Mus musculus: one gene and its partner. The protein of the gene in region 1 purifies or fractionates together with the protein of each later gene. This does not show direct contact. Links are inferred from orthologs where the notes say so. Each region holds a gene or a part of one and is shown on either strand. Other genes may lie near its edges.

Evidence for each region.
Region 2: the proteins of Cabin1 (region 1) and Ubn1 purify together in Homo sapiens (affinity purification with western blotting; 6 studies listed by BioGRID, with this or other methods). This does not show direct contact. The link is inferred for Mus musculus from reciprocal best matches to the Homo sapiens genes CABIN1 and UBN1.

The regions. Positions count from the first base shown.
Region 1 is NC_000076.6:75,754,287-75,758,103, reverse strand, and holds part of Cabin1 (calcineurin-binding protein cabin-1), read left to right. Parts: intron 1-2,603; 5' UTR 2,604-2,732; coding exon 2,733-2,735; intron 2,736-3,199; coding exon 3,200-3,292; intron 3,293-3,739; coding exon 3,740-3,817. UniProt on the Homo sapiens protein: May be required for replication-independent chromatin assembly. May serve as a negative regulator of T-cell receptor (TCR) signaling via inhibition of calcineurin. Inhibition of activated calcineurin is dependent on both PKC and calcium signals.
Region 2 is NC_000082.6:5,080,830-5,084,012, reverse strand, and holds part of Ubn1 (ubinuclein-1), read right to left. Parts: intron 2,596-3,183; coding exon 2,352-2,595; intron 2,120-2,351; coding exon 2,030-2,119; intron 1-2,029. UniProt on the Homo sapiens protein: Acts as a novel regulator of senescence. Involved in the formation of senescence-associated heterochromatin foci (SAHF), which represses expression of proliferation-promoting genes. Binds to proliferation-promoting genes.

The DNA of each region.
Region 1 (3,817 bases):
TCCGTCTTGTTACCGGAGCACTGGGGTCAGACCTGAGGTTTCTGATTTTTAGTTATGCATATGGATATGCGTGCATGTGCAAATGGGTGCAGGTGCCCCTGGAGGCCAGAAGAGGGCGTCAGAGCTTCTGGAGCTAGAGTTACAGGTGGTTGTGAGTTGCCTGACATGGGAACCGAGCTGTGTCCTCTACAGCAGCTGAGTACTCTAGCACCGAACTCTCGGGTCCCAGCCCGGTTCTCTCTCAACACTGTTACAAAATTCAGGGTTAGTTTTGGAGGGTATAAATAGTACTCTAGCCACAGAACTCTCCAGTCACCCCTTCTTTGTTTTGAGCACACTGTGTAAAAAACAGACGTGAAAGTTTGTTGTTGTTTTCATAAAATCTCAAACGTTCGATTTTGCCAATAAACTCTCCAGACAGGTGCTAGGGTGAAAGCCTGCTAGCCCAGAGAGGCAGAGAAAGCACCCAGCCTACCTTCCTCCACAGCTGATGTCCCAAAGAGAGAAACAAGTTCTCCTCCACCCTGGCTCAAAATCTCTCAAACTGAATGTCCCTCCCTTCTACTTCCCGTGTGTCTTTCTCTCTGTCCTCCTGACTTTCTCTCTGGTTTTCCTATATTCACTCCCTGTCATCTGGTTGCTTGCTCTTCCTCTTGATCACTGGTTGACTTTATTTAATCATGTTTACAGAAGTCAGAAAGCTCTTGGATTAAGAGTGTGCTAGGGCTGAGCCACACCATAACTATAAACAGGTTTTTCCAGTGAATAACAGAATCTCAGGGTTTACAGTGTGATCAAATATCCTGCAACAACAAATGTTTTTCTTTTATAATGCCAAAGACAATAATAATAAAATAATGATAATAGCAATAATTTCACAAGTTATGGCAGTTTCAGTGACACCAGTTTGGCAGGTGCTCCCACTTTCCTTGATAACCCTGGCTGAGGTGAACACAGATTGTTTTTTCTCATGCTAGTTACTAATATTAATTTTAGGGTACACATTATGAATTACACAGTGACCCTTTTGCTATGGTGACTGTCTCCATACAGGAGCATGCCTCTGGCAAAGGATCGCTTTCCTTCGCTCCTCTCCAGAGGAGAGAGGCTACAAACGCCTGGAGCAGAGCCCCAGTTCCTGCTTTATGCATGTGACATGTCCAGGTTGTTAGGAAATGACCGTGGTTTTAGCCGTGTGCAACTTGGGCGTTGGCTGCTTCACCTCCCTCTCTCAGCCTACAGGCAGAAAGCCAGGTTTCCAGGAGGTTGCTCCTCCTGTAGGAAGCAGAACCCAAAGTACCCTGAATCCAGGTGAGTGGGAAAAGCATCCAAAGGAGCACGCTCATAGGACGGACACATACATACCCACACACGCACACGCACGCACACACACGCGCGTGCGCGCACTTCATGGTTGCTGTCAAGGGTTAAGAGGCCACAGCAGAGTTTAAGAGGTTTCCTGAGAAGTAAAGAAGTTGATAAAACACAAATAGTCCACCTCTGTGGAAGCTGTTGTGAGTCAGACTGCTGCTGTCCTGGGTTTGAGAGCGAAGCTGCAGAGGGAGTGGGGAAAGGGCAGTACTGGGTCTGGGTGATCAAACGGAAACATGGACAGAAAGTCCAGACAAACAGGAGAGCAGGTTCTCAGTAGCTGGGACACAGATGAACTGAAGCTCCTGGCAAAGTTGGGAGTGGCCTGCCGGGCACACCAGGTGGTCAGGTGATGCGTTGGTAGGGGCTTTGCCAGTGCAGTGCTTGGTAGGTGCCAATCTTTTCCCTTAGTGTGGTGTGTCTGCTATATTCTTGGGCCTAGCTTTCCTGGTAAAACTTTACTATGCCCATGTGCTCCTACAGTCCCTAGGTCACCCCATACATTTATAGGGTGGCAACCTTTCTACTCTGTTATCTGTCTGTTATGTGGGCTGTGCTAGACAGATGTGTGGTTCCCATGTCCACCATGAATAGCCATCCTCCATTCTCAAAGTGGGAGTCAAAGCTGCTTATAAAACGGAGTCTCTGAGGGCCAGGCACAGCTTTAAAAAACCCGTATTTTATACCATGTAGACCAACTTGGAGCAGGGCACTCAGCCCTATGCCAGTGTTCTCCTTACCTGCTGATCTATTGTCTCTATTCCAGATGTGTCACATAACTGGATGCAGACAGTATTGACTGTTTTGCACATGACATCGTTTATTTAGCTTGGTTTTAAAGGTTCCTTCATGTTGCAGCATACATTATTTGTTATGAATGGACATTGTTTCTTTACAGATTTTCCCCATTTTATTTATCAGTTTTTAGCTATTGTGTGACCCCACCTTTAGCTCTTGAATACTGCTGCTGTGTCCATTTATAACCAAGTTTTGGTGTGGACATGTTTTCCTCTGAGTAGATGCATAGGAGTGGAGTTCCGGATCATATGCTAATTCTGTCTGAGATTTTGAGAAAGTGCCAATATGTTTTCCTTAGGGGCTGTTTCATATTTCCAGGAGCAACATAGGAAGTTCTAATTTCTCTACTGTCTTACCGATCCCATCATCATTTATAGTCTTCAAACTGGTTTATTTCCTGTTTTGTTTTTCCCTTCCTTATATTTCTCACACAGGTGGGCCTGAGCACTGTGCCGTTCCGTTCCTGGCTCCTCCTGAACCCTTCTGTCCTGTTTGCTCTGCAGGGGACTGTCGTGTCCCAGGGATGGGAAGTGATCCTCCGTGGTGGTGCTGAATCTCTGAATATGGTAAGACCTGATCCCTGCCTAAGTTGTTGGTGACAGTGTTGTTTGTCACTCTGCTCCTGGGGGCTAGGGGCATTTTTCCTGTGCAGCCTTTCTCCAGGAAGGCTGTTGGTACACCAGTGGGTGAGGATGCTTGTCTGGCTGTTGCTTGTAAGTCTTTAGTCATACTTGTAGGAAAGACACAAAATTGATGTTTTATTGGAATTGTTACTCTAATACCCAGGTCTTCTATGTTGAGTAGAAACTGGGGCTCCCAGCCTCTGTTCCTTTGAGGTGGACAGTATCCAGGATATACTTTCCACTCTTGCTGGGTATTGTCCCATCGACGGATTCACATCCTGGTTTTTTCCTCAGATGATTGTTGGTGGTTCTTCCTCCATAGTTTTTCATAGCCTAGAATAAATATTCTGAAGCATAATTGTATTCATCTGAGCACTGTGCTGCTATTCCTCTGAATTCCTTCCTAGATTCGAATTGCAGCCTTAAATGCCAGCTCCACGATTGAGGATGACCATGAAGGAAGCTTCAAAAGTCACAAAATCCAGACAAAGGAGGCTCAGGTATGCACTCTGAGGTCTGCTTCCGAGGAAGCTCCTGCTGCTCAGCTTAAATGAATCCCTTGTGTCCTCAGAGGAGTTGTAAGGGGGATGGCGCGCTGCAGACGGCCGCCTCTCCACCTCAGGTCGGACTTGTTTCCCTCGGGAGATGGTCATGCTGAAGAACTAACTGAATGCTCTTTGTGTTGTTGCCTTTTACCTACCACCTGCCCTCCCCCTTGTGTGTGCGTGCGTGCGTGTGCACACGGGACTCTACAGTAATGAGGTCTGAGCACTGAGTAGTAGATTTTCTTTGACTGCAGAGGCTGTAGCTGACAGCTTAGCAGTCACTCAGAGCCTCCCTTTGCGTACATTTGGATGTGAAAGGCTCTGTTCTGTGTGCTGGGAAGACGTCTCCACGTGAAAGGCTCTGCTCTGGGTGGTGTGACGTCATCTCCTTCTTGGTTGCAGGAAGCAGAAGCCTTTGCCCTATACCACAAGGCCCTGGATCTACAAAAACATGACAGGTTCGAGGAGTCCGCCAAGGCC
Region 2 (3,183 bases), on another chromosome or scaffold:
AATTCCTTTTAGACAGCATAAACAAACTTCACAGGAAACAGAAGCAGCAATGTCCCCCGACAGCAGCTGTGTGCATTGCTACTTGCAGCATCCTGTGTCATGCATGAGCACCAGCACTTCTCAGGCAGGAGGCCATTGAGCCCGTTTACAGAACAGGCACTCTGCAACATGACGACCACACAGAATCCAGACAATGTTCATTCTCTTGCCATCAAAATGTACTCAGGTATCAGAGGTACAAAGACAAAGGTAAGCATCAAATCCACATGGAAGGGAAAGCAGAACGGAAGCAAGCCTCAGCTCACTGCTAGATAGAGTACTCCCTGACAGCCCTACAGAGCCCCACACTGTAGCACAGCTCAAAATGAAGTTCAGTCTGCTAGCCCATTTTGCATGGATGCTCTTCTGACTGCCCCATAGTTTTTCTCTTTCTCCTTGAGGTACTGGTAATGAGACAGGGCTTTATATATGCTAGGCAAGTGCTCAACCACTGAGCGACATCCGTAACTCTTCTGATAGCTTTGGAAGACCAGGGGAGGGAAACATAAAAATGGTCCAAGAAATGTTTTTTTCTTTTCCTTTCTATCAGTGTCCCTCTGCCCTTTGTTGCTGAAAATTCTACAGATGCAGAAACTGTTTCCAGTCTCTCTTCAATTACTTTGTTTCTCTCAAAAAAGGTCATTTTCAAAGCAGGTAGAGGTGGCACCATCTCATTTTTCACAGCACACAGGCTCTCCATAGCTGGGAGACACCCACATTGCACTTCACTCAAATGGTAGCCACCCACCCATGCAGAGGAAGTCCTCAGGTGTGACTGCTTCTTCAAAGAATTGACTACTGCTACTTGCTTTGCTCTTCAAAGGTCCAAAGGTTTCCCTCTGAGAAATGCAAACTCACCCTCATCCTAACAAGGCCTCTGACATCCACTCACTACAGAGTTCCCAGCTTTAGGACATGAATGCAAGGAGCTCACAGACAGATCCTAAAGCAGACAATGAGCTATGGACCCACACTGTCCATGAGCAGGTCACGGATTCATCCCTAGAGTCTGCATCTGACTCCTGCCCTAAATTCAGCCTTTCTCTCCTGATAGCCCAGGGACCTGGTTGAAACAGGTCTAAAGTACTAACAATACTAGGTCAAAATCAGGTTCTCACAGAGTTCTTTTTTTTTTTTTTTTTTTTTTTTTTTTTTGGTTTTTCAAGACAAGGTTTCTCTCTGTGTAGTCCTGGCTACAAACTCACTTTGTAGACCAGGCTGGCCTCGAACTCAGAAATCCACCTGCTTCTGCCTCCCAAGTGCTGGGATTAAAGGCGTGTGCCACCATGCCTGGCTCTCATAGGGTTCTTTAAGCCAAAATTTCATGAAGTATCTATAACTATTCTCATGCTCTTGAGCTCACAATGTACTCAGGGCTCTTAGAACTGCCTACTTCCAAAAGCCCCATTCTGTCAGGAGGCCCTGGCCTCATTGCAGGTGTGCTTCCCAATCTGTTTCAAGGGAGCTTACACCAGGGAGGCCTAAAAGCTGCTTCTGTTTCAGAGCTGTGCCAGCTTCAGAGATCGAGGCCTTTCCTTCACAATCATGTACTATGGCCTCTCACTGTCCTATGGATACTTACACTCTTTCAAAGAGTCTCTACCATCTGACAATGCCTGGAGGTTATGTAGCATTGCACCATAAAGGCTCTAAAGTGCTTGGTTAACCTCTGGACAAGTAACACCATTACCTTTCTTCTCTTTAAATGCATTAGGGTTGGAACACCTGTTTCATGCTCATGCTCCATCATATAGCGTCACACAGGCTAAGTCTGACCCAATGACCAGTCCAATAAGAAACCAGGGAAAGTCTCTGGTAGTATAGGCCTGTATTATTCTGGAACCCAAAAAGCCATAGCCTCAAAATACAAAGCAAAATACAAAACAGAGATGATAAGGCAGAGATGGCTAATAGCGCCAGCAGCAAAGCACCTACGGGTGGAGGAGTGTGGCGCACAGAGTGCACAGCACGCTGCCCACCTGGCATTTACCTGGCAGGCTCTGTGGGACATGGGTAGACACAGCAGCATGTGGGAGAGGCGCTGTGTGGGGTGGGCTGGAGTGCAAACCAGCCAGAAGACCTGAGAGAAACAGGAGGGGAGAGAACAAAACACACACATTGAAGACAGAACAGAAAAGCAGTTTGGGAGATCTAGAGCCCCAGGCAACCTGCAGACCAGTCTGGAACAAAACAGCTATCCCGGGTACTATGCAGCTTCCAGAGGTGGGGGATGTTCCCATGGTTACACCAAACACATACAGGACCCAACATGGCACACAACATAGGAACAGAGGCAGGAGACAAGAACTTACTGTGGCTGAGGCCATGGTGGAAGGTCCCAGGGGCTGGACCTGTGACAATGGCATCCTTAGAGACTCCTGCTTTGGCAGAGGAGTCTGCATTGAAGGAGAGTACATGAAGTGGAAATTGGGTTATGATTCCCAGTGAGTTTGAGTTCATAGCCCCTGGAAGCTTGGGGTTGTTGGACTTATAGGATGAAGACAGCAGGCTTAAGGAAGAGGTGTTGGACAGCAGCACTGCCCCGCCAGTTCCTTTCTGGGGAGGAAACACACACAGTCAGAACCTACCCTGTGAAAGAACCTACTACTTAGCACCCAAAGGAGGAATTAGGAAGTCTCTATGAGCCAGCATCTAGGGGATTCCAGGGTACAGAGGTAATTTTAGCTACATTCCCAAGGGTTCCAACACCCTTTTCTGGCCTCTGTGGGTACCAGGTATGCACATGGTTCATATACAATACACATGCAGACAAAACACTTATACACATAAAATAAATAAAAAAGTTATCTCCGTGATAAATTTTAATTCTAGATAAAACCAAAGCTTCCATAAATATAAACAGTGTGGCAAGTTTCTCATTTAAAAAGATCCAACTAAAGCCCAGCAGTGGTGGCACATGCCTTTAATCCCAGCACTCAGGAGGCAGAGGCAGGTGGATTTCTGTGAGTTCAAAGTCCAGTCTATGAAGAGAGTACCAGGGCTACACAGAAGAAATGCTGTCTCCAAAAAAAAAAAAAAAAAAAAAAAAAAAAAATCCCAAGAAACAAACAAACAACAACAACAAAAAAAAAGAAAAAAGAAAAAGAAACAACTGAAAATGATATAAGATGATGAGATGATGGC